Caenorhabditis elegans: one gene and its partners. The protein of the gene in region 4 interacts with the protein of the main gene of each other region in a pairwise test. Each region holds a gene or a part of one and is shown on either strand. Other genes may lie near its edges.

Region 1 (6,997 bases), on a different chromosome or scaffold from region 4:
CATTTCAGGTGACTCCTCTTCTTCACGACATTCTTCTTGAAATCCGTCATGCCAAAATTCGACATTCTCGAGCATTTCATCCAGGAGCTCCAAATTTTCTAGTACAGTATCCGAAGGTGGTGGTGGAACATCCGAAGCTGAACTGAATTCAGCTTGCCATTCATCACCATTTGCTTTCAAATCGTTCGAATTCTCAAATGCTCCCCATTCATCCAGCGATTGTTGGTGGCGCGCTTCCTGAGATCGAGACGAATTCGGGCTACTTTCAGTCCGATCTGTTGAAGGCCGAGCCTGATCAAATGCTCCCCAATCGTCATCATCATCGTCGTCTTCGTTATTGAAACCATCCATTTTCAACGATGGAGGCGGCGATTGAGGTCTCTGAAAAAGGAAACATATTTTGGTCGAAACTTTCATTTTGGATATGAAATTTTGTTTTAAAAAGTTGCACGTGGGGTCAGAAAGTCCCATTTCGCTTTGATCTACAAAAAATGCGGGAGGTGAGACGCAGACATCTCAACTGATTTCGCATGGTTAAGAGTGTGCTGACGTCACAATTTTTCTGGGAAAAAAATCGCGCATTTTTTGTAGATCAAACCGCAATGAGACTTTCTGACACTACGTGAAGTTGGATTTTTGCAATCTTCCGCGATTTTTTTTTCATTTTGTTTGTGATTTTTTAAAGAAATTTAGGACAATTTTGGATTTTTGCAAAAAGTCGCTTTGAAGTCTGAATAAAAGCATTTTCGGCGTATCCTGCGCGCATGGGTCTCGCCACGCTGACATCGAAAAAAAAAATTCTGAGAATGCTGCGTATTGTGCAACACATTTGCCGCGCAAAATATCTCGCAGCGAAAAAGAAAACTACAGTAATCGTTTAAATGGCTACTGTAGTGCTTTTGTGTCGATTTACGGGAGATCGATTCTTTAATTAAATTCTTCTTTTCAAATATTACCGGTACAGAGAGTGTAGATAGTTGAATGGACACAGACATTCCGGAACCCAAGGGGCGGGGCGCGGGAAGAGACGATTTTTGTCGATTTACGGAGTGTTTTTATTCACAAACTCTCCGTAAATCCATACAAATCGGCTCTTCCCGCAACCTTGGGTTCCGGAATATCTGTGTCCATTCAACTTTCCTCATTCTCTGGACCGGCAATATTCGAAAAGAAGAATTCATTTCAAAAATCGAGCTCGTAAATCGACACAGAAGCACTACAGAAGTCATTTAAACGATTACTGTAGTCTTCTTTTTCGCTACGAGATGTTTTGCGCGTCAAATATGTTATGCAATACGCATTCTCAGAATTTTTTGTACAAATATTGATGTTTTTATTTTAATCATAAGATGGTTAAATTTACCAACAACTAATTCTTAAATTGATTAGCACTTATCAGTGTCTTATCAGCAATCAAATGACCAAAACATCTAATAGGACGAATTTTCGCCTATTTCTCAGCAACTAACAATGCAACTTTCTCATTCTTCATGTCTCCTGTATCATAGACAAATTGATTAGCTCACGTAGTGCCAGACGGTCCCATTACGGTTTGATCTACAAAAAATGCGGAAATTTTCGCCCAAAAAAATGTGTGACGTCAGTACGTTTTTAACCATCCGAAAACAGTTGAGAACTCTGCGTTTCTTCTCACCCGCATTTTTTGTAGATCAACGTAGATCAATCCAAAATGAGACACTCTGCCACCACGTGTAGCTTCTTCTTCTGCTGCTGCTGCTACAGTCTGTGTGTACAAAAGTCTTCTCACATAGTAGGTAGGTGCAGACTTCTTTCTTTATCAAATCTTCCCTTCTTCAACATTACATGGCGTGGTTTTCTCGTGGCATTTTCCAAGAGAGGCTCCACCCCCCCCCCCCCCCCCATCGCATGTACTTTGTTCATTGGTCAAGAAGAATCGTATATAACGGGCAGCGATAACGTCCCAAATCTTTGTCGTATGACGACGGGGACGATCGGAAATTGAGAGGAGGAGGGGGTAGTGTGAAAAATACATGAGGACGCGATGAAGCTGCTGGTCAGCAGCAGGCCCCAAGCCACTGTGTTTTATTGCAAGACAGTTCGATCTTCACGTTGATATCAGACATATATAGAATATACATCTCAAGGTCTTCTATTCTCATTTCTTAGGCAGCCTGTTAATATGTTGATAATGAACAATCATTTGACCGCCCGTTTTTCCGAGTCACTTCATCAAGGACTTGATTTCTTTCCAAAAAAACTTCCAAAACCACCCAGCAAATCATTGTTTCAAAAAAAGTTTGCTCAAATGATTAGAAATCAAAAGTTCAAATGTTTTTTTGCAACAGCTGTCCCTAGCCTGTCTCACATCACAGTTCAATTGTTGTAGTTTACCTCTCCTCTTCTCCTTCATTTTATCTCTAAAACGCATCGATTCGGGGGCACTTTGCATTTGTTATCGTGTCTAGTGTCTCTTGGCATTATTCTCGTTGTCACAAAAAAAACCAATACAAACAAGGCGTATTTCAGGTCAAAATGACACCTCAATCGTCTCCGAGCTCGTCTCGTGATCACGTTTGTCTCGTTTGTCAAGATTTCGCTTCTGGCTACCATTATGGTGTCCCGTCATGTGTCGGATGCAAGACATTTTTCCGGCGAACAATTATGAAGAAACAAAAGTACATTTGCCAATTCGAGGGCAATTGTCCAGTTGATAAAAGTGAGTTATTTAGCACACTTGGTGTCAGGCTGTCCCATTTCGGTTTGATCTACAAGAAATGCGGGGATTTTTCGCCCAAAAAATGTGACGTCAGCACGTTCTTAACCATGCGGAATCAGTTCCGCAATTCTCGTAGATCAAAACGAAATGGGACACTCTGACACCACTTGTTAGCAGTAACAAGGAACTTATAAAAAATATTTCAAAAGTTCAGCTATCCGCTGTGCCTGCCGATACTGCCGATTCGAGAAATGTTTGAGCGTGGGAATGGACCGAAACGCCCTCCAACAAAACCGTGACCCTATCGGATACACAAAACGTACCAGGCGTCCAAAAAAAGAGCTGAAGACTACCTCGGACTGTTCAAGTGACGAAGGAGCAAGCACCCCACCATCAGTGTCTCCATTACAGCTATCGGTAATTAATTAGTCCAATTACGGTTTGATCTACAAAAAATGCGAGAATTTTTTTGCCCAAAAAATGTGTGACGTCAGCACGTTCTCAACCATGCAAAATCAGTTGAGAACTCTGCGTCTCTTTTCCCGCATTTTCTATAGATCTACGTAGATCAAGCCGAAATGAGAAACTCTGACACCACGTGATCCCAAATTACAGCCTCCACCAATCTCGCCACTCCTTTTCCAAGCTGCACCACTGAAACCTCGTCGCTGCATCCTACAAACTCTTGCCGAACGCGAAAAGTGTGCAAATGATCTCCGACTCTCCGAATATCTTCCAATCCGATCTCTCCACGAGGCTCTATGCTCAAAGGCTCTGCTGAACGACACGGCTTTTTTGGAAAAGTGGGGACAGCCGAGTGAGAGACATCAGATCTTCGATCTACGATTCGTCAATCACGACGACTACCACTATTGGCACGAGAGAGACTGGTTCTTGTTGACAGAGTATGCCAAAACATTCGATGTTTTTGAGGCGCTCGATTATCAAGATAAGGTTGGAAGAAAACCAGAAACATGTATAACGATTTAATTATTTCAATCCTTTCCAGGCCGAACTTGTTCGCCATGCCGCAATAACAGTCCCAGTCCTGGTTCAAGTCTGGAACTCCCCGGACTACGGACCAGACACAATTGTATTCCCAGATGGTGCCTACTTCGATCGTACTCCAGAGCCAACCCGGTAAGTTGTCGGTCACATATACTCCAAACCGAGCCCCAATTCCCGTCTCGTTCCGCGTTGTGTTCAATCGTTATAGGCCAGCCGGACTCAACAGGAAAAAGTATCAAATGTTGGATCTCGTGCTCAAGCCGTTCCGTGATCTACAGCTCGACGCAACCGAATTTGCAGCGTTCAAAGCGGTAACGTTTCTGAATCCAGGTCCGGGCGGAATCTCAATAAGAGCCAAACTTTCACTTTGATGCGATTCCAGACGCTGACATCTCTCTACCGGCTCGCAAGCTTGTGAACAACGAACGAGTCCGCATCACCAAGCAGTTATACGGCTACATGGCCATGAAAGACGACGTGGACACGGCAATCGAAAGGTTGGTGAAATCACGTTTTTCCTTCCTTTGATGCATTCATCTATTACTCGCTTGTCGATCAAATCAAACATTGATAGATCACAATTTGATGTGTCTTGTTGCGGACTAGCTAAGTAAGCTAAGTTGGAACACTTTGACCAAAATTTCGGTAAATTCTCTAAATTTTGCTAAATTTTCAAATTTTTGGTAAAATGCTAAAATTTTGGTAAATTCTCAACATTTTGGTAAAATGCTAAAATTTTGGAAAAATTCTCACAATTTTGGGAGGCACCACGGAAACGAGAACATGTGAAAAAGGAGAATTACGAAAAGGAGAACACAAAACCACGCCTATTTATCCGTGCCGAGCGCAAGTTTTTGCATAAACTTGTGCAAATTTTTATTTTCAAACGAGACAACGAAGATCCGAACTAACGAATTCGTGTGATAAACAACACGCGATACGTTCTTTCGGAGCTTCGCGTTATCTCGTTTGAAAATAAAAATTTGCACAAGTTTCTGCAAAAACTTGCGCGCGGCATGGAAAAATGGGCGTGGTTTTGTGTTCTCCTTTTCGTAATTCTCCTTTTTCACATGTTCTCCTTTCGGTGGTGCCTCCAAAAGTTTTGGCAATTTATTAAAAAATTGGCAATTTACCAAAATTTTAAGAATTTACCAAAATTTTGAACATTTCCCAAAATTTAGGCAATTTATCAAAAAATTGGCAATTTATTAAAATTTTGAGAATGTACCAAAAGTTCGGCAATTTACCAAAATTTTTAGCCCCCGGCACTGATAGATCACAATTTCATCCCCGTGTTGCAGATTCGCACGATTGGTTCTGATGGGAACGTCCATGTCAAAAATGGCGTGCGAATCGAAAGAGGCCGTGTGGATTGCAGACTTTTTCGAGAATATCGGCTTCTCGGCGTTTGCCCGGCAACTGTTTTTCGGTGATACGACGAGCGTTGTTGCTCACAAATTGTGAAGTGAATAAATTTAAATTTAATAAATTAATTTCCAGAAATATTTACACGCTTGAAAAAAAATCTCAATGCTAATCCTATTTATATACGTTTATTATTATTTTTTTTTTTTGGTATTTTTTTTGCAATAAAGTTTTAACTTTTTTTTCTTACCGCCTGAATTGGTGCAGCAGCAACAACGGCTTCTCCAAAATCTCCCCACTCATCGTCGTCATCGTCTTCTTCTTTCTGTATTTCCGAATTTTGAAATCCCGTAAATTCGTCCTGTGATAATGCAGTCGTCATCTGAAATTACGGGATTTTTGGGGTAAATTTTTGGCAAAATTAGTTCAATTTTTAGAACATTTTTTGACAAAAAAAATTGATTGCAAATTTTAATTTCAAAATGTTGCATTGCTATTTTAAAGTTGATTGAAGGTTTTTGTTCATAATTCAAAGCAGGGGTCGGGGGCAAACGATTTTTCCGGCAAATCGGCAAACTGACAATTTGTCGAAAATGACATTTTCTGGCAAATCGGCGAAATTGCCGGAATTGAAAATTTCCGGCAAATCGGAACACCGGCAATTTGCCGAAAACGAAAAATTCCGGCAAACCGGCAATTTCCCGAAAACGAAAAATTCCGGCAAACCGGCAATTTCCCGAAAACGAAAAATTCCGGCAAATCGGCAAAACCGGCAATTTTCCACAAATCAAAATTTCCGGCAAACCGGCAATTTACCGAAAATGAAAATTTCCGGCAAACCGGCAATTTGCCAAAAATGAAAATTTCCGGCAAACCGGCAATTTGCCAAAAATCAAAATTTCCGGTAAATCGGCAATTTGCCAAAAATGAAAATTTCCGGCAAACCGGCGATTTGCCAAAAATCAAAATTTCCGGCAAATCCGGATAGGGTTTTCTTCAATTTTTCATTTTGAAACATAATTTCACAATTTTTTTCGGAAATTTTTCCGAAGAAAAAGTTTTTCTACTGTTAAATTATTGATTTTCAGGCCAATTTTAGGATTTTCTTAACTGAAAAATTTCTGTAAAAAATCGAAAATGTCGAAAATGACGTCATTTGCGCGGGAACTTGCACAAAAAAATAATTCAACTCTTTCTACCTATTTTTTTGTTGCAAAACTGAAAAAGTATTTTTAATAAATGTAGGAAAATTCCATAAATTTTTAAACATTTATATTCGGTAATTTGACACTGTTTTATTTCATTTTGGGTACAAAAATGTTTTTTTAAATAGAAAATTGGAGATTTTAAGCTAAAATTAGCCAGTTTTTTAAGAAAATTTTAGAAGTTTTTTTCCCGAAAAATTGGAGATTTTAAGCTAAAATTAGCTAGTTTTATAAGGAAATTTTTGAATTTTTTCGAGAAGTTTCATTACGGAAATCGTTAATTTCAGCATATATATATATATATATTTCTTACCGTATCTCCCTTTTCATTATTATCAGATGCTTCTGGAACAGCTTCATGTCCGGCAGCCATATCCTTCACAGGAGTCACCGACCGACTTCTTGATGCTGATGGAAGCGGTAGGCTCGTCGAGTCGGGCGAATCGTCGACTTCATCGTATTCGTGCTGCTCACTTTTGTCATAGGAATCGTCGACAGCGACGCCGCAGAATGGAGGTGGACCCCCATCGATTTCCATCGATCGGCTGGAAATTTAATCGATTTTGGATGGCAAATTGGTGTGGGAGAGGGATATTGAGAAGAAATTCGAGGCACCACGTTTTCAAAATCTGTTCGCGTCTAGTTTAGGATTTTTTTCGTAGATCTTGAAAATGTAGATCTTGTTTTCGTAGATCTTGTTTTTGAAAAGATCTTGAAAACG
Region 2 (6,957 bases), on a different chromosome or scaffold from region 4:
GAAAATGCAGGAATTCCATCAAAAACGAGAATTTCACTCAAATTTCGATGTTTTTTTGGTCGAATTGAAGCTATTTTCTCAAATTCAGCAAAATTGGTGGAAATTTCGCTGGAAACTACACTATGCACCGATAAAGTGGCAATTTCAGCTTCAACGTATGGAAAAACTGAATTTTACTGTCAAAATTGACCTGTTTGAGACGTAAAAACCAGGGAAATCGGATTATTAGCTTTAATTCACAATTTCCCCTGAAAATACGGCAAAAATGCAGAAATTCAGTCAAAAACAAGGTTTCCAAGTTAAATTAGAGCTATTTTTACACTAAAAACAGCTAAATTGGTCAAAAATTTCGCTTTTTCCTGGTGGAAACTGGACTATGCACCGGAATTATGAAATTTTAACATTAAAATGTGTAAAAAATATCTTCAAATCACAATTTCCTAAGAAAATACAGCAAGCCGGTGAATTTGGAGGGAAGAATGCAGAAATGCAGCCTTTTTTCCTACTAAAGATAGGAAAATTGGCTGAAATGCATTAAAAAAGTGGAAATTCCAGCCTTTACTGTCAAAATTGACTTTTTCAAGGCATAGAATACCAGGGAAATTGGATTATTAGCTTAAATCTAGCTTTAATTCACAGTTTCCTCTTGAAATACGGCGAAAATGCAGGAATTCCATCAAAAATGAAAATTTCACTCAAATTTCGATGTTTTTTTGGTCAAATTTGAGCAATTTCCCTGCGAAATGGAATGGAAAACGACCGGGATTGGACTATGCACCGGAATTATGAAAATTCAAAGTTAAAATGTGTGAAAATCACAATTTCCCCTGGAAATACGGCGAAAAATGGGAAAAAAAACGTTTCCCAGCACGAAAACGCACACAACTTGCAACCAAAAAAACGAAAAACTTCTCTCGAAAAGTGATAATTTAGAACTCTCCTGATAAGCGAATAACGGACGGAGCTGATAAGCAGAAAATGGAAATAATAGGAAAAAAACAGGCGACCGCGCCGCACGGAGACAGACGCGTTGCGGTCAAGCCGCGGCTCCCATCCATTTTGCCATTCCATTGCATGTCGACTGCCCATAAATTTGAGCGAACAGACAGAGAGAGAGAAATAGAGAAAGAAATCGAGAGGGCGCCCGTTTTCTCTGCGTCTCCACACGTTTTCCAGCTTAAAAATTGGTTTTTCTCGCTCGTAAATGCAGTGGAGAGAGCGAAATCCTTAATTTTCTCTTGTTTTCCGCTTAGTTTTATTGTTGAAATATTGTGGACGACGAGAAACACATTTTTCCATTTTTTTAAGGCTTTTTCGGCGGTTTTTACGAGAAAATCGGAGTCCGAAGCGAACGATTCTCACAAAAAGTGATCTGGAAACTAAAATTAACGGAAATCAATCAATTTTCTTCCTTTCCTGCTGAAAAATGCATTCTAAGCGCTGAAAAATCGGCGGAATTATGCAATTTTAGTGATTTTTAGATGTTTAGACCCGAAAAAATCATGAAAAAGCTATAGAAAAAATGAAAAAATGCAGAAAATCAGAGAAAACGAGCGAAAAATAATTTGAAAATGAGTTTTTCTGTGCAATTTGCCGTGACGGTGTTTGCACACGACGAAATCTACCGTACCCCCCGGGAAAATATTCAAAACTGGTTTTTCTTGGAATTTCGAGTTTTTTCGACTTTTTCCAGCATTTTGAACGAGTTTTTTGGGAAATTTAACGAGAAATTACTGAAAACGTTATATATTCCGTCGAAAAAGTAGTAAAAATCACTCAGGTGATGCTTTGCCGGGAAAATAATGGAAAAATCATTTTTCCGTCCAATTTTAGGGTACAATTAGCTGAAAAATTGAATTTCAGCATTAATTCTGGTCAAAAGCGGGAGGAAAATCCACGAATACCTCGGAAAATGAGCAAAATTCAGAAATTTCCGGGAAAAAGTCGAGTAAGCTGAAAAACTGTTTTATTATTAGAGAATTTGGATTTTAAAGTTGCTTTAGCTCGAAAATCAGCGAATTTAGCTTGAAAAACATGCCCAGAAAATGCCCAGAAAATCGGAGGAAAATGGGGAAAAATCTGAATACACCTATTTTCTGAGATTTTTCTCATTTTTTCGTGCGGAAAGTGTCAAATTACAGTCGGTACAGCTTCGAAGAGTGAAAAATCGACAAAATACAATCAAAAACTAACAAAAATTAAAGAAAAAACGCGAAAATTCGGAGAAATTAGCGAAAACTGAGCGAAAAATAATTTGAAAATGAGTTTTTCTGTGCATTCTGCCGTGACGGTGTTTGCAGACTCGGAATTGCTTACCGTAGTCGCTCATTTATTTTTTTTGAAAAAATGCATTTTTCTTCAAAAATAGCTATATTTTTACAGAAAATTACAAAAAAAAAGTGACGCAATGAGAGGGTGGTGTGTGGAAATTCGATACAGAAGCAAGGATTTGAATGTGTGTGCAAGAATGAGATGATTTTGTGTGGGAGGGGAGAAGCTTAATAACTCGGCATATTCGCCATGGCAATCGGGTCCATAGTGTCTATAGTGCCCGGATTTTGCAGGAGCAAATGTTGTCTCATCGATTCGTTTTGTAGTTGGAGCTGTTGGACGTAGACTCGCAAGCATTGATTTTCCTGGAGAAAAAATAATTATTAATTGATTGATAAAAATTTTATGCCGTCAGAACTAAGCCTTTTATCAGAGTTACTCTTTATTTTTAGTCCGAAAAAAAAGTAAAGTTAAACTTTAACGAAACAAAAAAGAAAAGCCACTCCCTGGAATTGATCCAACGAGTGCTCACACCGAACTGCGTCCACTACCTACTGCTCCAAACCAACAAATCTTTCCAACACCATTCTTGGTGAACATATCGAAAAGTGGAACACCATTAAGGGAACAAACGTTACTGTACGTGTGCACTAGAGCGCGTTTGCAAAACTATCAAAAAGTACTTTTAAAAGTGTCGGTTATCTACAAAAAGCCATCTGATATTCCCGAAATTTATTGAAAAATTGGGAAAAGTCGGCGTGGGCGCGTTCTCAAAGTTATTGCGTAGCCAGGCTGACACCTGTTGACTGATGACGTCATCAATTAAGCCCTTTTTTGGAAAAAAAAACCCGCCAAAAAAAATGATGCAAAGGATTATTATCTATGGGAAATTTTGAAAACGTACCCTCTCCAAATATGTTACACGAACACTATTGTCCTGATCGACTTTCTTGCGAGATTCTCTGGATTTACGGGCGGCTTCGTTGTTTCGGCGGCGCCGGTCGAGATAGGCCTGGAAAATTGGATTTATTCGAGAGGATTTTGGACTATTAGCTGTCGATTTACGGAGCTCGTGTACTCCTCGTGGAAGAGTTTACACTGGTTTTTTGAAGAAAAAAAAACGGCTGAAAAGCTTGATTTTGGCCAATTTTCACTGATTTTTGTTGGATTTTGATGGTAAATTGTCATTTTATGACATAATTTATAGTTTTTAACTCAAAAATTGCCGATTCAAACGTTAAATACAAGAAAAATCAGCAAAATTGGCATAAAAATACTTTTTTCAAACGAAAACCCAGAGAAATCAACTCCACGAGGAGTACACGGCCTCCGTAAATCGACACGTGGCTAGCTATTAATTCATACGACTTTTTAAATTCATACGACTTTTTAATTCATACGCCTTTTTAAGAAAAATACGGCTAAAAAACTTTATTTTGGATCTTTTTTGCTGATTTTTTTTGTATTTTACATTAAAATTGTCAACTTATCTCGATTTAAATGCAAAATACGAGAAAAATCAGCAAAATTGGTCCAAAATAACGTTTTTTCACTGAAAAATCAGAAAAAAACTCTATTTTCAGTTTAAAAAAATCAATTTTTCAACTTCGTGGCAGTGAAATTAGAGAAAAAACTCGGCCACCACTTTGAAAACCAGCGGAAATTAAAAAAAACAGTTCAATTTTCATAGCAGAACACGGTTTTCTGGCCTCATAAATTGAAATGGAAGAGTTTGCAGAACTAGGCCATTTTGGCTCGGCCATATCTGGGATAGATTTACGTCGCATTGCGTGTCGCGTCGCGGCTCGGATTTGTCCGTGTGGAGTACACGACACTCTCCCACTCGTTGTCCGGCGGGCGATTGTCAATGGAGCGCGAAACATTCAATGAGGAAAACCAGAACCCTGTGGCAGAAGGAATCCAGGAAACCTCGGCCGCCATTTTTTCTCGGCCACATCTAACACTAGCAGATCGGCCGTTTTTTTCTGGTGGCCGAGTTTTCTCATTTCTCGGCCATTTAATCTCTTACCTCATCCTTTTGATTTTCCGGCACCGGAACCGGTTTTTTCTTCTTACTCCCACTGCTGCCACTCTGCTGATTTTGAGACGACGTGGTGGATGACGTGGAAGACGATGACGGGGAAAAAGATGACGTGGCATGGGGATTCGCGTATGGCGCGAAATGTTGAGCAAAAAATGGGAGAGCAGTGGCTGCGGAGTAGTTCTAAGAAAAAAATTTAATTTTTTGTTAAAAAGCATTTTTGAAACAGTAAAAAAATTTTTTTACTTTTTCAAATTTCAGAAAAATTCCAAAAAAAATTACAAACCTTATCAAAAGCTCCTGCTCCATACGGATTCTGTGCGTACATCTGATTGAATGCCTTTATAGAATCCGAATCACACATTCTCGAGGCAGCCAGCTGCTGTTGAATGTCTGTCATCATCTGGAAATAATCTGGAAATTGGTGGAGAATTGGTGGAAAATGGCTAGAAATTTAGGAAAAAGCTTCCAAAGAACACAGTAATAAGTTGAAAAAAATTATAATAAAACAAATTTTTTTGAAACAGAATTTTTTTTAAATTTTCAAAACCAAAACCGTATTACTCAACAGTTACCAAACTATTACACCGGAACTTATGAGCTACCGCATGCTGAGAAAAAGTCTGCACGCAAACAGGACACCTCTACAGGCCCTACTAGACCCGCCTCCTCCCCCATTTGCCCACGGGGTCTCTAAAGACGGGCGGCTCTTTTTATGATGATTTGAACTGTAATGGCGCAATCGTTGCGTCGTTGTTCTCTAACTAACTAACTACCGTCTGCTGTTAGTTGAATAATGTACCGCAAAAGAGATTGGTGGTGGTCCTAAATGTATAACGAGGTGGCAATAGGTGGGCATGTCTTGGAGTTCCGTGGGGAAAACTGGGCATAACTTGAAAAGTGTAAGAGCTAATAAAAAGTTGTCAACCAACAAAATGTTTAAAATCAATTTTGCAATATTTTCATAGTTAAAATCTTTTTGATAACTTCAATAGCTAAGGAGATATAAGCCTTCAAACTTAAAAATCGGTAATTTTAGTTGGAGTTTTGCGCGAAAAACTACCATAACTGAAAAAGTATCGGAGCTAGTGAAAAGTTGCCAACTAAAAAAATGTTCAACATAAATTTATAAATATTTTCCCAGTTGACAACTTTTTGATAGCTACAATGGCTGAGGAGATACTACTTCTTCTGTAAAAAACGCTCGTACTTCAACTTGCTAACAATTTTCCCTTGTAAATTCCACTTGTTAAATGCTTCACATGAAACAGGCACCAATTCAAAAATTCAAAAATTAACACAAAAATCCCAATAAAACTGGTTTATTCAAGTGAAAAATGAGAATCCTGAAAATTATTGTGGCACGGCGAGCTCCTCGTAGTTGCCTTCCTGAAATCAGAATTGTTTCTTTAAAAGTAGGACCTTCCTCATTGCATTATTCGCGCTCTATTGACAATCGCCTGCCGGACAACGCGTGGGAAAGTGTCGTGTACTTCACACGGACAAATCCGAGCCGCGACGCGACACGCAACGCCCCGTAAATCTACTGAGCCAAAATGGCCTAGTTCGGCAAAACTCTTACATTTCAGAATAGGAGGGAAGGCAGAAACCTGTGGTACGTATCCCAAATCAGCAAAATTAATTAAACAATGCGTTGCGGTCGCGTTGCGGTCGCGTCGCGGTCACACAACTCACAGTTTCATCCTTCTTCTCCTTTGGAGCCCCTAACTTTGATTTATTTGTTCCTTCCGGAGAATTTGCTGACTTCTTCTTCTTTCCGCCACAATTCATCACCAGAGATCCGAAAATCACAAGAATTGGAAGCACGAGCTGTAAATTTCGGAGCATTTTTTGCAGGCAGGCAGGCAGGCAGGCTTAAACTGACTTGTGCAATCATTTGGCTTCTTCTTCGTTTCAGTGGAATGGAATTTTTAAACAAAATTCGAAACTGATTTTTTCGATTATTGATTTTTAGTTGGCGACTTTGAAAAAAAAACACGTTTTTTTTGAAAATTATTTCCCAGTTTCACGAAAAAATTAAAATTATTTTCAACATTTTTTTCCATTCAATACGTTTTCACGCGTTTCCCCCGATAATATTCAAATTTCCGTATGTCAGAATAGCGGTAAATTCAAAGAAATTACGCAAGTTTTTGGGGTATGTGTACTTGAACATACGCACACACAGATTATTGCGTTACCACATTAGGACCACGGGGGTATAATGAGTTGGGGGGTGTTGGCCTTGTGGCCGTGGAGGTGAAAAACCTCGGCCACTACCAACTTCTAATACGTCTATCTTGGTTCCGGATAAATTTGGAAAAAGTTGTCAACTGCGAATTTGTGGAAAATTTAATTTTCTATAATTTTGTGGTTAGCGATTTTTCAATAGCTTTTTTAGTTTTTAAGATATTTTTAAATTTTAAATTGACAATTAGAATAAGCTAAAAAACTATTTTTAGGAACCGGAATTTATTAAATATTTAAGAATTTTGAAAACTTGCATGCTTGCCAGAAAAACCGCGACGCGACCGCAACGCTTTGAAGCCCAATTTTGTTTTTCTATTGCACAGTAACTTTCCCGTCAATCCCGACTTTTACCCACTTCTGAAAAACCGCTACGCAACCGCAACGCACCTAAAGCT
Region 3 (8,145 bases), 5.2 Mb from region 4:
CAAATTTGTTTTCAGAACAGTTACTGAAAAAGTAAAATGAAAACCTGATTTAGGCTGTAATTTTGCCATCTCCGCCTGTTGCATAACTGCATCAGCTGCCAAATCATCAACTTTTAGCTTTTTGTACTTATCGAATTGATCAGGATGTACTTTCTCTAGAACTTCTAATTGAGTCTTAAATGCTCCTTTTGCCATTTCCATTTGACCTTTTTTGATGAGAGCATCAACAAATTGAACACCCATCAGTTCAAGAGCTTCCATTGATGGAGCCAGTGGTAGTTTTTGATGGCTTTTACCTACGAGAGATGACAACAAAGCTCCCGGAGCATCGGAAGTCGATGGAGATTGGGCCGATAATGGTGCTGGAAATTTTCTAAATATTTTCCCTTTTTTCAATTTTTCCTCATAAATCATCACTTAAAAAAATGTTAGGATATCACAAAAAGTTCAGCCAAAGTATTTGATAAATTGCCAAATTTTTTAAAGTTTCTGATTTTTTTTGAAACATAAATTTAACAATGTAATCTCTAAATATTGAATTTAAAACTAACCGATACAAAATCCTAACAACAGGAATAAAAATAAAAATAAAATCATTTTCGAATCTTTTACGAAAGTGAAATAAATAAAATGAAAATGCGAAAGAGAAAATCTTTTGAAAGGGAGAAGTCGTGGAACTGGATGAAAACAAGAATGAATTGATAAGAATGGCTAACGACGAGAATATCACCTTCTGACATAGGTGAACCTTCGGATGAAACTTGTTTCTTGGGTGGGAGAGGAAGGATTTGTTACATCAGCATAGCTTTCATGGATCATCAATGCGTTTCGATTTGTTTTTAAGGGTTTGTTTTTTTAATTCATGTAATCAGGATGTTTATACAGTATTGACTCTGTTGGTCTTGCTTGCAATTCGATCATTATGTAGGAGTGCTACTGAATCCCTTTCCCGACTTAAAAAACAACTCGGTTCGTCTTTTTTTTTGCAATTCAAACAAAAAAAACGGTCGTGCGCCGGTCGCGTGTTCGAGATGCCAATCTTAGAATTTACCCGGTTCGTTTGACGACCGTTAACGTCGTTGGAGGTCGGTGTGATTTAGTAATTTAGAAGAACTTTTTGAAGATTTTGAGTTGCGATAAATTGGGGAAAAGAACTTTCGAAATGTCGGAAATTGATGTCCAATATTTGGAACGAAAGATAAAATAAAGAAAAAAAGAGAAAAAGAAACATGCCGACAAGTTGAGGTTGTGAAGGACGGATGATAGAATGCACTATTTATTTGAAGGTTGTTTTTTTTTCAAAGCTGTTGGAGCCAAAAACAGGGTGTGACTTTTTAAAGCAGGTTTCAGAAAAGTGCCAAAATTCCGAGAATGACATTGCAAAAAAAAACAAGAGGTTCCAGAAAAGCGGCTTCCCGACTGCTCGGTTATTGCAGTATTCACGGAGCAATTGTTCTACCAGCACAAAAATTGATTTCAGGCCAGGATTGAACTGTTATGTTAAATTGTAATATGTCATACATATTTTACGAGACTGTTTACGAGACATTATTTAGGGAAGTTTTTTCAATTTGTGTCACACACTTGCCGCAGCTGCCAATAACTAATTAATAGTAGAAAATTGCTAGGTATTTACCTGAATTTTAATTTACAGAACAGAAAAAATTAATTAAACGTATATTATTTCCACAAATCTATGTATTTTGAAATCAAAAACAAGTTAATTTTTTAAATGATTTTTATTGCTCAGAAAAAGGAGACAAACATAAATCAATCAATAATAAATGAAATCAAGAGGAAGAAATTCATTCAATACTGAAAATTTGGAAAGATGAGTGAAAAAGGATAAGAGATATTTAGAGATGAACAAGAGAATAAATATTTCTTCAGGTTTGGGAAAAAGGGTAGCTACATTTGGCATATTGTAGAGGGCAGGGGATGGGGGGAAGTGTTCAACATATACAATCATAATTTCGTGCTTGAAATCTCAGAAATTTTTTTTTTCAAGTACAACGGCGAATTGGGTAATCGATGAAAGTTGAAAGAACGAATGAAAACTGGCTCGGTAAAGCTGGGAGAGGATAAAAATGGGTAAAGAAATGGGGACGATACTTTTGTAGAAGAATACTTTCAATTTGAAATTAGTGAATTACTTTTTGGATTTGTAGAAATACTCTTAGGGTTTCAAGAAATGAAAGAATACAATCGCTTGGATTTGTTGAGGAAATACTGGAAAACAAAGAGAAAAATACAGAAAAAGGTGGTAAATAACTAGAAAATGCTGGGGATTAAAAGGTACTAAGACCGGACTAAAGGGACACTCGAAAATTGTTGGAGAGAGATAAAGAGAGAATTGTTTCAGGGGAGAGGCTAGAATTGAGGTAGGAGCAGAAAATGTTGGGCTTTCAGAAGAAACAGTGAAAAAAAACATTTGGACGTAGCGATCTACTTACTACCCGAACTTTCAGAAGTTTTCAAAAAAAAACTTGTCTGAAATATTCAAGAAAAATTAATATCAATTCCCAATGCATCGCTCCATGGATAATTGACCAGCTCGCCTGTGGTTACAGTTGGACAAATCTGCTCCAGGTCATCCAAATGTGTTGTAGTCGTAGCGGCCGTAGCCATTGTGACGACTCCCGCCGAGTTTGGTGATGACGTTGATTGTTCAGAAGCACTACAGTCGGCGTATCCCGAAGATCCAGACGATAGACTACGCATGTCGTCCTGAAACTCATGAGTTTTGAACATTTCATGAGGATATTGTGCTGGTGGTGTTGAAGTTGGTGCTGGTGATGGTGCGAAGTGGTACATGTTATAAAGATTATGATTCTGAATCATTGGGTTAGGTATCTGAAGGAAAACAAGCGGTTATTAGGATGTTAAGCATGGATGCTGGGAAGGGATTGTAGTGGAAAATGGAGTACGGTAGGATTTACGCTAAAAGGACTAATAATATAAATTTTCAAAATCCAATGGCCAGTACTAAGAATTTTATGATTTAAATGTTTTTCAATATAAAAGATGAAATATCGACAATGTATTAGAAACTACTTAATCCACTTCAGAAAAATTCAAAAATTTTTGAACTTTTTTTAAAATTTACAGTCAACGGGTTTTAAGTACTAAACCTAAGTAAAAATTGAATCACAAGTAAGTGTTTCTATAAATTCTAAGGGCTCGAACAATTTCTCATAAAGTTAAATTTCTTCGGAAATTTGATAATTTGCAAAACTTTGATTGAAAATTTTGACAAATATAAAGTATTTTGAGTGATTAATTATTTTCTTTAAGATAAAATTCCCCACCTTTCAGAAAATAAAATTTGGCAATTTTCTAAATTTTTAGCCACTACATCCTACCGTACTCCCAAACAAAAAGTGCTTCAAACAAAATCTCATGCAAAAGAGACAACCCGTACCTGATCAACTGATGGTGGTGAAGTGTGCAAGTAGAAAGGATGATTACCAGCTCCAAATCCCGAATTATGCCCCATCATTTGTGGTGGCATTCCCATGTCCATACCAAGATTCGTCTGAAAATATTGAATTTTCCAAGCATTTCGTGATCTATAAAAACTAACCATTCTGAGGGGACTTCCTGCCGAATTATGATGTTGTGATGCAAAATGCTGTTGATGATGTTGCTGTGTAAAATAGTCATCATAAAATCCAGATTCAGGTGTCAACGGAGCATGTCCAAACTCGGAAGGTGATGGATACGATGGATGAAATGGCATCTTTTGTGCATGACTCATATGAGCATTTCCCATCCAATCTTGCTCCACTTTCACTGATTTAAAGTTTTGGAATTGTTGTGTTTCTGACTGTTGATCTGTGTTTGGACGTTTTCGTTGACGAGCCTGTGGTGATGCTCCACGTGGTGGGGCCTGTTGCTGTTGTGGAGCTTGGGGTTGAGCTGGCTGCTGAAGTGTTCCATCTGGATTCTTCTTTGGCTTCTTGCGTGGCTTGTATTTGTAGTCTGGATATTCCTGAAAAAATTTAAAATTACAATACAATTATTCGAAAAATCCGGTTACAGTATTTCCTGTGTGGCACAGAGGTAAGCTACTATTTGAATATTCTAAAATTTGATAATTTGGCAGTTGCCAAAAACGTCGAATATTTAAAAATTTCTGAGATTCGGAAAATCACCAAAAATAAAATATTGGAATTTTTAGTTTTTAATGAAAAGCTTATATTGTTTCACCTACCTCCTACACTGACTATAGTAGAAATTTGTTTTTCGTTCAAAATTCAAATTTTTTTTTCAAATTATTCTCTTTTTTTTTAACTTTTTTGAACTCGATAATTGTCGTATTTTTGAATTTCCGAAAATGCCGATTACGGAAAACTTTTGATTGGTATGAAGCCTCTATTATCAGCACAATACGTTTTGAAATTATTTAGTGAAAATACACTTGTTCAAAAATTATTACTGTATTTCTTACTTATATAGAAAATTCGGTATCAATATTGAATTGAATTAAACTATATTCTCCCATACTAACCTGCATATGACAAACTCTGAGTCTCTCAGCTTCAGCAACAAATGGAGCTTTTTCCTCATCAGTCAAACTTCTCCAACGACTTCCCAATTGCTTACTGATTTCTGCATTATGCATATCTGGCTGATGCTCACAAATCTTTCTCCGTTCCATTTGAGACCAAACCATAAAAGCGTTCATTGGTCGCTTGATGTGATTTGATGACTTTTTGCAATTTGTTGCATCCGAATACGGGGTCACTGATTTGGGAATCGCTTGTTGTGCATGCTGAAAATGTATGGATTTGTTTCAGAGCAATTTTTAATTTTTTGGTACTTCTAGGTTGAGAACATTTCTAAAAGTGCAAATGTCAAGTAACTGATAAGAAAAGAGTTTTCAAATTTGTTGCTCTTCCACTCTAGAAGTTTCAAAAAATAAGATAACAAGATGACCAGTGCAAAGTATCATGTTTTTTGTTTTTACTAAATTTATTACCTTGTTTACTAAAAAATTATTACAAAAAGGGCTGTGTCCACTTCCTGATGTCCTTTTGACAGCTTATCACTTATCAAAGTGTAAAGCCCATTGTTTCAATATTTACAACCAAAAAAACCGTATCACAAACCTTATAGCCTCCAGCTGCTGTCCCATATGGATGATGTTGTAATTGTTGTGACGTGGCAACCGAGTTAGACGATGTGGCATTTGTGGCTCCAGAAGTCGATGAGGCTACTGCAATTGCGGCCGCAGCCCAGTTAATCGGCGGCATCATATGCGGAGCCATTCCACAATCCAGCATGAAGTTGGGCGGTTTTTGGAGATCCATTTGATATCTGAAATAAAAAGTAATACGAAAAATAATATTGTTGAAACGGAAAGTGGAAAAATTAAAAGAGAAAGGTAAGAGAAAGTGAAATTCAGGAGACCGAATTTCGGCAGAAAATATAGGGAAAATCCAAAAAGAACGAGAGTTAGAGAGAATAAGAGATTCAAAGATGTCTACGATCCGTTTCCATGAGAGATTTCTACGAGGAGATAGACAAGGTGGCGTTCAGTGTATCTTTAGTACAGTATACTTTAGGATACAAGTATACGGTAGAATCTACCAAGAGTATACTTTTCCAAAAAGAAACGTAACCAACTATACAATTAGAAACTTTCAAGTAATAGTAAAGCAGGGTTCTAGTTGCCGGTCACTTGCTTACTGATAAGAGCCAGCACTGATAATTTTTTCCTGGAGAAAAGCTGGAACATGTGCAAAAGTATGGAAAAGGAGAGAGACGGCAAGAAAGGAAAAAATTCAAAATAAGAACTTAAATATCAACAATCATGACTACCACGATTCTAGCTGGATAAGTTAATTAGCAAATGACCGTAGGAGCTTAATCTATTCAATTTTTGATGATAAGCCTGACTGATTCTTCTTCGAGATGATCAGGTCAAACTGCCTTTCTGTCTCATTTTCATTTCTCTCTCTCTCTCTCGAGAAAAGGGATGTTGTACAACCCAATGACAAGAGTGATGACATAACAATACAACACAATAGAATAAGGGGGAGAAGCATCAGAAAACTGGTATTTTTAGAAAGGGGCAAAAACGAAGTAGGAGAATGAAGCAGAAGCTGTGTACTTCGAGAGTGCGGTAGTGAGGCTTCTCGCATGATGTAATGGTTTGACATTTGGTAATTGTAATTGGCATTGGCCAAACGAGATGATGTACTACTACTGTGTGTATATGTACGGTAGATTGGCATGTCATGAGAGAAATGGTTTGGAAATGGAAGTTTTCAGAGAGCAAAAGGTTTGACACATTTAGAGAGCATTCATCTTGGAAACCCAAGTACAGAAAGTGAAACAATACTATATAGAAAAGAATATCAAAAAGGGTGCCAAGAAAACAGAAATGAGAAAAACTAAATGGTAACAAGTATATCTTCCTCCTTACAACCACCGCCTCCCGTCCTGAAAAAGGCGTGTCTAGACCGCCTCTACGGCACTTTGCAAAGGACCACGAGGTGCCAAGTTATTTGCGGCAGAGTTCCGAAAGGAGGCAAGTAACTTGGTACATTGAGGTGGCTAGATTGCATGGGAAATTGGATAAACAAGAATTTTGGGATGAGTTAGACATGAAACTCAACTATTGAAATTCTGAATATAACAAAGATAATTGTATTTCCAATGAGAAATAAGCAAGGTATCTAGACAAACATAGATTTCTAATTCTAATAGATTCTTAAATGAACTGAAAAAAGGTGGCTTATATTTTTGATGCATACTTTGGTATTTTTTGGAACATTTCAAAATCTCTGACCGTGAAAAACCTTGCCATGTTCGATATCAAAAAAGTAACAACAAAATATTGGGTTAACTTTAACTGAAGAAACTCTCAAATATGCTTATTTCTAAAGAAAAGAGCTCCTAACTTTTGCCTACACAGTTAATTTGTCATGCTTTCAGCAGGTACCTCATAGACATTACGATGCACGATGTACAGATCGTCAACGAAGTCGGGCACTATATGCACATGGCGACTCTAAAACAGTCAAAATATGTGCCCAACGATATCGAAAGTTATGTGCAATTCTGCTAGACTAGCACACTCCAAACTAAAACCTATGATCAAGTGGTTACTTGATAACTACAGTAACCTTGATCCTTCTTCGAAACCAGCTTTTCCTTCTCCTCATCTCATTTAGCGTTCACTCTCGAATGAATCATGACTTCTGCCCCCTTACACCTTTCCTCCAAAAAAACTGTATTATGTAACTTTTTGGAGGTAGAAAAGAGGAAAAGTGTTCACAGTCTCGACGCTCGGTGATGCCTTCAGCTTCTGATGCGCAGAAGGAGAGAGAGAGAATCGCAAATCGGCAGAATTTGGAACCGGTTCTCAACTCAGGAAGGGGCAAAAGAGGGGGCAGAAGAGGTGAAAGTGTCTCGAGATCATCGAGAGGAAGACGGCTACTGACTTGAAGAAATGAGAGGAAGGAGGGAAAGCTGTCTTGTATTACAACAGCAACAAAAAACAGTTTCAGATACAAGAGAACATAACACTGAAATTTTTTTAGAGAAGGGAGGTCACGATATTGGTCAACAATCTCTTTGAATAAAATTACAAAAAATTAGATTTTCAGACATCAAAGCATAGAACGTTTCAAAAAATTGATTTCTAATTTTACCAAGTATTTACAATCATGCCTCAAAAAACTTTAAAACTCACTAAAAAGCTAAATGCAGTTTTAATTGACTATTTAATCAAAACTACAAAATCCAAAAATTTGGTACATCTTCAAAAGTATACTAAACATTAAAAAAAAAACCTTTGCAAGGCGGCAAGATGACAAATGGGAGTGTATGGTACCAACTTGCCGGTGTCTTTTACATAGGATATCGATTAGTAAATATCGGCTCAAGAGAGGGCACGAGGCGGGAAAAAAGGTGAGAAGACGGCAAACGTGGAGATGTCTAGTGAGGTAAAAATCTATTATTGACTGTTATTTGTCACTTGTGAAATTATCTGAAAAACTATATACATAATTCTAAAGTTTCGGATATATCTATAATTATTGTGAAACCACAAGTTTACCTCTAATGGCAGAGCGGCAGAGCGGACCTTGTTTTTGATAGTTTGTTTCTGTTGAAACATACAGAATCTTTTGAAAT
Region 4 (9,789 bases):
AAATTTTCAATTACGGCAAATCGGGAAATTTCAATTCCGTCAATTTGCCGATTTGCCGGAAATTTCAATTCTGGCAATTTGCCGATTTGCCGATTTGCTGGAAATTTCAATTCCGTCAATTTACCGATTTGCCGGAAATTTCAATTCTGGCAACTTGCCGATTTGCCGATTTGCTGGAAATTTTCAATTTCGACAAATTCGGCACTTTGCCGGTTTGCCGATTTGCCGGAAATTTCAATTTCGGCAAATCGGGAAATTTCAATTCCGGCAAGCTGTCGGTTTGCCGATTTGCCGGAAGTTTCAATTCCGGCAAATCGGGAAATTTCAATTCCGGCAAGTTGCCGGTTTGCCGATTTGCCGGAAATTTTCAATTACGGCAAATCGGGAAATTTCAATTCCGGCAAGTTGCCGGTTTGCCGATTTGCCGGAAATTTTCAATTACGGCAAATCGGGAAATTTCAATTCCGTCAATTTGCCGATTTGCCGGAAATTTCAATTCTGGCAATTTGCCGATTTGCCGATTTGCTGGAAATTTCAATTCCGGCCAAGCTGCGTTTGCCGAAGTTTCAATTCCGGCAAATCGGGAAATTTCAATTCCGGCAAGTTGCGTTTGCCGATTTGCCGGAAATTTTCAATTACGGCAAATCGGGAAATTTCAATTCCGGCAAGCTGCGTTTTGCCGATTTGCCGGAAATTTCAATTCTGGCAAATCGGGAAATTTCAATTCCGGCAAGCTGCGTTTGCCGATTTGCCGGAAATTTTCAATTACGGCAAATCGGGAAATTTCAATTCCGTCAATTTGCCGATTTGCCGGAAATTTCAATTCTGGCAATTTGCGATTTGCCGATTTGCTGGAAATTATCAATTTCGACAAGTTCGGCATTTCGCCTGTCTGCCGATTTGCCAGAAATTTCAATTTCGGCAAATCGGGAAATTTCAATTCCGGCAAGTTGCCGGTTTGCGGATTTGCCGGAAATTTCAATTACGCCAATTCGGGAAATTTCAATTCCGGCAAGTTGCCGGTTTGCCGATTTGCCGGAAATTTTCAATTACGGCAAATCGGGAAATTTCAATTCCGTCAATTTGCCGATTTGCCGGAAATTTCAATTCTGGCAATTTGCCGATTTGCCGATTTGCTGGAAATTTCAATTCCGTCAATTTACCGATTTGCCGGAAATTTCAATTCTGGCAACTTGCCGATTTGCCGATTTGCTGGAAATTTTCAATTTCGACAAATTCGGCACTTTGCCGGTTTGCCGATTTGCCGGAAATTTCAATTTCGGCAAATCGGGAAATTTCAATTCCGGCAAGCTGTCGGTTTGCCGATTTGCCGGAAGTTTCAATTCCGGCAAATCGGGAAATTTCAATTCCGGCAAGTTGCCGGTTTGCCGATTTGCCGGAAATTTTCAATTACGGCAAATCGGGAAATTTCAATTCCGGCAAGTTGCCGGTTTGCCGATTTGCCGGAAATTTTCAATTACGGCAAATCGGGAAATTTCAATTCCGTCAATTTGCCGATTTGCCGGAAATTTCAATTCTGGCAACTTACCGATTTGCCGATTTGCTGGAAATTTTCAATTTCGACAAATTCGGCACTTTGCCGGTTTGCCGATTTGCCGGAAATTTCAATTGTGGCAACTTACCGATTTGCCGTTTTTCCGGCAAATTTGGCACCTCACCGGTTTGCCGATTTGCCGGAAATTTTCGAGAAAATTAGTATGTATGTAATCCTATCAAGTTTTCAAAGTTTATATATATACATACAAAATTAGACAAGATATTGTTTTGAAAAAGTTAGAAAATAGAAACAACTTCTAGAAAGAAATTGCAAAAATATAATGAAAGTATGATCACAGATAGGTGTGTTGAAATGCCGGAAGATTTTGATGGAAATTGTTGAATAAAAAATAGAAAATTTTGACAGTGATAAGAATGAAAGGGGACTGATAAAGCAAGAGACAATGAGAGAATGAAAAGATAATATAGGTTTAGGCGGTGTATATGGAAGATTTCAAAAAAATAATTATATTAAATCTGATAATTTTGAGAAACGAACTATTTGAACTTTAACTCAGGTTCTTTGTGGAATTATTTGAATTTGAAGTTTTTGAATACAATTAATATTATGAGAGACTCGTTCTGGAATGGGAGGATGGAGAAAGGGGCAGGAAGGTGTAAGAACAATTTGAGATTTTGCGAAAAAAATTGATCTAATTGTTTTCTACCTGGCTTATAAACAAACTGGTAAAAGGGATCTGAAAATATTTGAGTAGCATAGTAAAAAATGAAAATGCTAAGATGCTGGAGAAGCAAGCAGGGGCTCTTGTGTAGGTATAAAATGCCTACACGCCTGCCTACAGGCACTCCAAAAACTGCTAATTTTGGTTAAATTATTTTTTCAATAAAAAATTAATGTTAAAATATAGAAAAATATCCGGATATAGAAATAAAATGAATTTTCGAACTTAACAAACATCTTTCTATATCTACATTCTCACATTAACTTTTTTCAGATGAAATTTGCGTTATTCTACCAAAATAGGCAGTGCTGTGAGGCACGCAGTGGAGGCATTAATTCCTACACAGAAGCTCAAGTACAAATGATATGACTGGATTGTGGGAGACGGGTAGTGTTTTCATAAAGTTATAAATATGATAATTATGGATAATGCGGCAATCCGAGGCTTGGAAGTAGGGGATTTTTCAAATCAGGAAGCCTATGAATCCCATTATGTTGTGGATGTTGCTGTTGACCAGATCCAGATGATGGACCTCCTTGAATAAGTTGATGTTGATGTGGAATACCTCCTCCATTCTGCATTCCACTATGATCCATTTGGAAATGTTGTGGAGGTGGTGGTGGCCCCTGAAGATGGGATCCTTGTCCCATATGTCCCATTGTGTTTCCATACATCATGTGTTGCTGCTGTTGAGATGTTGGTGGTGGAGCCTGTTGTTCTTGCATTCCACTTGGACCTTGACCGAGGAGGGAGGCGTTGGGAAGATTGTATTTCTGAAAATTGTAGGATGAGAATGGGAAAGTGAGATAAGAAATATTTATTTGTATGCATGATGAAGCCGAATATAAAAGCTTACACTATAAATGGTTTCGATTGGCATAAGTGGCCGCTTGAGTTCGGAGTTCTGAAAGCAGTGAAAATGTAAGCAGAAGCAAAGCTGTTGTTAGTAATTTACTTGATTTCTTCTAAAGCTCGAAAACTAAAACTCGAGCAAAAAAATTTATTCACGACCGTATTTCTTCTATTAGTCTTGCGCCCACTTACTCTACTTTGACATCTCATATCTCGGTCCACTAAAGATATTTTTCCAAATGTTTCACAAATTCAATATTTTCTCAGTTAGAAATTTTTCGATAAAACCATAGGCAACTAAGATATGAACTTACAAAGTTAGGAAAAGTGGGTCAATACTATTAGAGGAAACGTTGTCGACTTAAACTTGGACAGTATTAAAAATTTGATCAACTTTTTAAAACTTAGTTTCCATTTTGTAAAAAACGGCGGAACATGTATAACTCGATATAATCTTCATTACTTACCAGTGTATTTTCAAAGATTCCCAGATTTCCATAACCCGACCCTGACATTGATCCTTCATCGATTTCGCCTTTGATATCCATTAAATCATCCCTCATCGAGTCTTTCATATCCTCTTCTTTACATGTAGTTGTTTTCCAATGAGTTCTCAATCCACTCGGTGAAATATATTTCTTTCCACATGTTCCACAACTATACGGTCTTTCGTTTGCATGCAGACGTTTATGAAGTCTTAGATGAACGTATTGAGTGAACTTGGCATCACAAACATCACACGTATACGGCTTCTGACCATTGTGAAGTCGAAGATGAGTTTTTAAATTAGAAGTCGACGAGAATCGCTTATCACAAATATCACAGCGATGAGGACGTTCTCCGGTATGAACAAGATGATGCTTCTGAAGATGAGCAAGCTGTGTGAACTCTTTTGTGCAAATTTCACATTTGAATGGACGTTCGCCGGTGTGCGTTCTGAAATGTTGAAAGTAAAAAAATAATTGGAAAATAAGAAAAGTTCTAACCTGACATGAACTTTAAGATTCGAAAGCTGTCCGAATGTTTTGTTGCAGTCTTTGCAAGCGTATCTCGTTTTTCCATTTTCCTGTTGTTGCACGTACTGAAAAATTTTAATTTAAATTTATTTTCATGTAGAAAATATGAAAAGGAATAACTAGACATTTTACCAGGTCTAGGCGTGTGAATCGCCCTCCTTGCGCCCTGATTTGAAAAAGATTTACAAAAAAGCACCCGGTAATCAATTGATTTATGTATCAAAACTTTGCTAATTTTATTGGGATCAACATAGAAAAGGTAGAGATAAAAGGTAGAGATAAATAGAGGCAGGGTCAAAAATTATAAAAAATATATAATTTAAAAAAATTAAAAAATCTAGTATTAAACATTTAAATATCAACTGTTTTTTAAAAAGAATGTTTCAAAATATTTTCCCATCAACCATCAAGTTCAACAAATTAAAAATCTTCTTTGGTAAAACTTACATTTGGAACTCCATTAAATGATGAATCATTGTGTGATGAAGACGAATGATTAACAAATGGAAGTTGATGAAATGAAGAAGTATGGGCACTTCCACCCATTCCAAATCCTCCACCCATACCACCACCACCTCCGAATGCTGGAGACGCAGATGTGTACAGAGGTTTTGATAGCTCATGCTGGAAATCTTGACTCCCATAAATTGCTGCATAGTTTCCAAAATGAGCTCCTGCAGTTGCTGCAAGTACTGGCTGCACATCAATCGGCTGGCCGGATCTTCCACCAGTGGCAGTTATTGCGGCTGTTGTTTGAGCAACAGGGGACACAAACATTGAGGTATCAACTAGTTCTGAAATAGGGTTCAATTGTTTTCAGGACTTTTTAGGACGCCCCAGTTTGTTTTTAACTTAGCAGTTAACAGTAAGCTATAAAATTATGAATAAACATACAACATGTATTTTGAAAACTTTTCCGTTGATAAAACCACATCCGCACGGGATAAAAGCTGCCGAAAATCCGAAAACAGGTAGATCACTAATTAAAAAGTATAGTAAAGCATAAACAATTTGATAATTTAATTGATTGAGGAAACAATTTTAACAAACTGAAAATATTGTTAAACTTAAGTTGATGTGTTAAAAACAAAAAAAAAGTATACAAATGTATCTTGTTTGTCGACAGAAGCTTAATCCCCATCAAGGACATATGGCGTTTTTAGCTGTTTCTGATAAGTTTTGTTAACAAAATGTTAAGCAACTTTTTGCATCTCCAGTGAAAAAAACTTCAAAAAAAAGTGTTACATTTTCAAAATTTTCAATTTCAGCTTATCAGAGATTCAGAGTGGGATTAATAAACTCACTTAATTGAAGGGATTTCCTCATGAACTCTTTAAAATCCACCAACGGACTTGCATAAAAATTGCCAAGTCGAACGGGTATTCCCGGGAAATTATTGACTTTGGTTGCAACAGGCCTCACAACTGGATTCTGGATAACATTAGGCCGTGTGACTTCTGCAACAGGCCGTGTACAGCTCTCCTGCTCTTCAACATCAATCATTTCTTCGTCACTTGCAGAAGAAGCATCAGTAGAGAGTGTATCAATGGGTGATTCAATGAGTTTTTTAACTGAATAATCAATTGCCACAATTGTTTCTGCTAAACTCGCAATTGCAGTTGATGCAGAAGCTGGTGGTGCAGATGGAATCAGTTGAGTAGCTGGCCTTCGAACTCTTACGTATGGTCTTGTTGAATAATTTAATTTCCTTGCGTAGTCCCTGCTGAACCAAAATGATAATTCAGTATTTGCTTCAATCTTTTTAACTGTGTAAAAGTAGATATCATTTCCAATTTGTGCAGCAACAAGATTCTGAAAATCTTCCTCTTCAGCAGCTGCCACGTATTTCATCCAATTTGATCTCGCATCATCTTTCACACAAATCGTTTTATTCAATCTGCCACCTGATGGAGAATAGATCTTCCACTCTTCCGGAGCTTCATCAAATGGAACATCTTCTTGAGCTGGACCACCTCCAGCCATTGATGCTTCAGCAGGACATACAAGTGCTGTGTCAACATCTACCAAACGAATTTCTCCAACGAGCGGGCCAAATCGGACTCCTCTCGGAATATGATCAGATGACCATATTGACGATTTCTTTCGATTTTTTGAGGAGGACTTGAGAATTAGGTTCATAGGAAGTGTGCATTCTGCTCGCTTTGGATTTGGCTGAAAATAAATGGAATTAAAATTGAAATGGTTTTTTTCGATGTATATTAACTTTCTCATACTATTTTTGTAGTCCTGGCAAAAAAACGGTCGGCAAAAAAGCAACTTTTTAGTGCACATCTCAAACTTTCTATGGAACGTTTTGAACTTTCCAAATTTCTAGAGAACTTTTTGTTCCAAAACCATTTTTTTAGAGAAATATACATGTAGGCAGGCAGGCTCGGTTTTTAAAACTTTATAGACTATAAAATACGAACTCACCAAACTAACAGATTTGTCTGGAACATGAAATATACATAATTCGGCAAGATTCTCATCTCCCGACTGCTTCCAATCAGTTTCAACGTTTCTCGCACCTGAAATTAAAATGTTCATTGTATAAAATGACAGCTTCACAGTTTTTTCTTTCGGTTTAAATTTTGAAGTGATTGTTTTTTTTGTTTTCACTTTCATTTGTTCTTTTTTATATGGTGTCCACGTCTAGTTCAAGAGGGAAAAGAACATTTTGATGATAAGTGATAGCGCGGCGATGATAAGCTTGGCGGCATTGAAATTTGATAAGAAATCCGAAAAGGAAAAAAAAGAAGTGGAGGGAAGAAAAACGAATTTGGCTGATTCGATTTCTTCGCAAATGTAGATCACGGATGGCTGCCAAGGGGGCCGAGTTACAGTATCCTATCACAACTTACCTGACGCTGAAACTCCGGCAGGTGACGTGGATGATGGCGGTGTGGAAGATGATGACGTGGCAGATGAAGCAGAAGAAACGCCGACAGAAAGGGGAGAATGAGGTGGTGAGTGAGCTGCCGCAGCAGCCGAAGAGAACGGTGCCGGCGGAACACCGTCATCCCCACTTCCTTGACCCATTTTTTACAGGTTTTGTTTAAAATGAGATCGAAGGAAAAGAGAAGAGAGATTTATTTTCTGAAATTGAAAACATGATTCTGGTAAAATAAAAATAATTTTTGGCAAAAAGAAAGACAAATTAAAAGTGAACCAATTCAAATAAAAGTTTCAAAACAAGAGCGAGAGAGTAATAGAGCACGGAGAGGGAAAAGGCGAGGGCGAGAATCAGGAAAACGGCGCCGAAATTGTCAAAAAGACCTTGATAAGGAAGAACTCGAAGAATTGGGGTGAAATAGCTGGGTGACCGAGGAGAGTGCAGAGTTAAGAAGAGCAAAAAGGGAAAGTTGGTGATTACGGTAGGTGGGTTAGATGATGGGAGGTTGTGCAATAATAGATTAATGTTTTTTTTAAAGGAGGAACTTATTAAGGCGTCCGGGATGTGCGCCTGCCTACCTATCTTCAATACTGCCTACTGAAAAAGTCAACAAGAACTGAACGAAAACCTAAATTACAGAATATAAGAGGTAGACAGGCATAAGTCAGGCGTCAACGTCTCAAGAAAAATCTGAAGAGGCAGTAGTTCAATAGCTCAATTTTTTTCAATTCCAAGTTAATTTCAGAGTTGAGCTTCTGAATTGAAACTTTTTTAAGATGTCAAGGGAATACGGTATGCATATTGTCGATCCAACAAGTAACCTCGTTGCTCAACTTTCGCGGCTTATATCTCGGTTCTCTTTAGTTGTATCAAAAAACTGTCAACTATAAAAACATTTGCGGACTAATTTTCAATATTTCTGCAGTTGTGCAATTTCGGATATCTAAACAAAAAACCAAGATATTAGCTGAAAAGGTGAGCAGTCCGATTTAATACTAATATAGGGAATACCCTTAAAGACGGACTATGACTTGTGGGGATTTTGCATCAAATTGCTTTAGATACTCCCAATAATTCGTATTAAACAATAAAAACTAAAACAATTGGCTAAGTTTGAAAAAACTTAATTTTTTAATTTCAAGCCTACGGGAGTTGCTCAGGAATATGTGCCGGAGAACTGAAAACCAAACAAGTTCATTTGAAGATTGTTTTAATATTTCAGAAAAATTCAAGCTTGTTCACATAATTTTTGTTCATAAACCTCGAAAATTCCCATCACCGCGGGCACAAATTCCAGAGCTTGTATAAAAAACCTAAATTGGCAACTTTCAAAAAAAGTGACGGGTGAGAAAAAAAAGTTAAAAGTTTAGAAGAAAAAGAGCGAGGCGGGGTCAGATCTGTTTGTCTTTTTCATTTGAAACACGTGTGATTCAGAATTCAGAAAAGGAGCCGACAACTTTCAAACAAAAAAATGTGGGGATTTGGGAAAAGAATACGGTAGCTTGGCAAATATGAAATCAAATTTGAAATGTACTAAAAAAATTGTAAAGGAAGATCGTTCATAAAAAGGAGGAGATGAATAATAAGAGTTTGTACAAAAGGGGGAAAAGCGAGAAAATAGCTGCTGCTACTACTGTTGGATGGGACGAATTGGAAGCAAAGAGAGTGAGAGAATGGATTACGGTAGAAAAGGATAATAAATAGTATTGAAATTTCAGAGATGCAGAGTCACGGTCAGTCATGACGCCGCCCGAGAATTGTCGCTCGCGCGCGCGCAACGACCATTCATCCATGGATTCGGATTCGACGGTGGTCTTCTTCTCTTCCGAAGAGTGTGAGGTATGGCTGTACACAGCAAAGAGAGATCACTGATTGAAGAGAGGATCAGAGAATCAGAGAAAGGGACCGGTTTCCCCCCATTTGTTCGCGCACTCTCTTGCATAATGGACGCTGCTGGACGACGACGACGACGACACAGAGAGGCTTCTTCTTCCCCTTGAACCTGTTCTTGCATATCGGGCCTGTAGAGATCCGCCAAAGTGATTCGAGGAGAGGATCGTCTCTTTTAGCCAATGTTTGTTGGAAGAAGGAGAAAAGAAGGGAACGCGCCGTCGGAGAGGGGGCAAAAGCTTTTGGTTTCTTTTGGCATTCGAATGGCTATTAGGGAAATTGAAAGGCCTGAAGCAGAGAGAAGGGAAATGTGTACGGTTTTAGAAACTGAACATTCAAAACAAAACAGCTTTGCGTGGTGGAAATGGCAGGGTTTACTTGAATTAGATTTCTAGATACTGTACTTAACTCGATCCAGAATCTGGTAAAAGGGATGCAATTCGGAACTTCAAAGACATTCGTCAGGTGAATGATAATACCAGTTTCAGAGTTTTTGGTTGATGTCATAATTTGTAGCTGACCAGAAAGGAATCTTTAGAATTGTGACGGCATAATAAATTACCACGAAAGTCGTGAATTTTTCTAAGGTTCTAGGAGCAAAAAGTGCTGTCAATTTATGGATTAGATCGAAAATGTTTTGGCAGGATGTCTTAAATTTTGTTACTCTGAAACGATGCTTGTAAGATGTAAGGTGTCACCGTCGTGCTCCAATACTATAGATCGGTGATAAAACCAACCAATGTCAGGCAAGAAAAAAAAATGTCTCAGATATCCTAACTTTAAGTTCCATAACTTTTCCACGTCACCTGGAGTGCATAACTACCTGATGTCTACTTGCTTGCGCGCCTGCCTACCGCTTATTTTAATTCTTAACTCCGGATTTCGTTGTTTGGACAAT

Evidence for each region.
Region 1: the proteins of blmp-1 (region 4) and nhr-114 interact in a two-hybrid assay, tested with the Caenorhabditis elegans proteins (one large-scale study listed by BioGRID).
Region 2: the proteins of blmp-1 (region 4) and zip-7 interact in a two-hybrid assay, tested with the Caenorhabditis elegans proteins (one large-scale study listed by BioGRID).
Region 3: the proteins of blmp-1 (region 4) and sem-2 interact in a two-hybrid assay, tested with the Caenorhabditis elegans proteins (one large-scale study listed by BioGRID).

What each region holds. Positions count from the first base shown.
Region 1 is NC_003283.11:4,184,695-4,191,691, forward strand, and holds nhr-114 (Nuclear hormone receptor 114), read left to right. Parts: upstream 1-2,508; 5' UTR 2,509-2,514; coding exon 2,515-2,698; intron 2,699-2,912; coding exon 2,913-3,115; intron 3,116-3,313; coding exon 3,314-3,652; intron 3,653-3,707; coding exon 3,708-3,838; intron 3,839-3,914; coding exon 3,915-4,036; intron 4,037-4,088; coding exon 4,089-4,203; exon of another isoform or gene 4,204-4,316; intron 4,317-5,007; coding exon 5,008-5,170; 3' UTR 5,171-5,310; downstream 5,311-6,997. Other genes in the region: Y45G5AM.9 (Aftiphilin clathrin-binding box domain-containing protein), read right to left, coding at 1-381, 5,322-5,453, 6,590-6,814. UniProt on the Caenorhabditis elegans protein: Probable transcription factor which may have a role in detoxifying dietary metabolites arising from bacterial tryptophan metabolism.
Region 2 is NC_003282.8:16,500,955-16,507,911, forward strand, and holds zip-7 (BZIP domain-containing protein), read right to left. Parts: upstream 4,729-6,957; 5' UTR 4,716-4,728; coding exon 4,599-4,715; intron 4,496-4,598; coding exon 4,301-4,495; intron 3,284-4,300; coding exon 3,176-3,283; intron 2,637-3,175; coding exon 2,499-2,636; 3' UTR 1,956-2,498; downstream 1-1,955. Other genes in the region: Y51H4A.935 (uncharacterized protein), read right to left, coding at 5,666-5,701, 6,008-6,142, 6,198-6,209.
Region 3 is NC_003279.8:5,202,810-5,210,954, forward strand, and holds sem-2 (Transcription factor sem-2), read right to left. Parts: upstream 5,320-8,145; 5' UTR 5,313-5,319; coding exon 5,112-5,312; intron 4,775-5,111; coding exon 4,511-4,774; intron 3,992-4,510; coding exon 3,584-3,991; intron 3,536-3,583; coding exon 3,422-3,535; intron 2,728-3,421; coding exon 2,500-2,727; 3' UTR 1,721-2,499; downstream 1-1,720. Other genes in the region: osr-1 (TPR_REGION domain-containing protein), read right to left, coding at 45-362, 552-597. UniProt on the Caenorhabditis elegans protein: Probable transcription factor required for embryogenesis, vulval development and cell fate specification of the postembryonic mesoderm (also known as the M lineage).
Region 4 is NC_003279.8:10,406,717-10,416,505, reverse strand, and holds blmp-1 (B lymphocyte-induced maturation protein 1 homolog), read right to left. Parts: upstream 7,205-9,789; 5' UTR 7,148-7,204; coding exon 6,970-7,147; intron 6,637-6,969; coding exon 6,542-6,636; intron 6,281-6,541; coding exon 5,413-6,280; intron 4,903-5,412; coding exon 4,556-4,902; intron 4,174-4,555; coding exon 4,079-4,173; intron 4,029-4,078; coding exon 3,560-4,028; intron 3,145-3,559; coding exon 3,097-3,144; intron 3,014-3,096; coding exon 2,660-3,013; 3' UTR 1,733-2,659; downstream 1-1,732. UniProt on the Caenorhabditis elegans protein: Transcription factor which binds to enhancer elements in the promoter region of genes. Regulates the expression of the transcription factor bed-3 to control vulval development.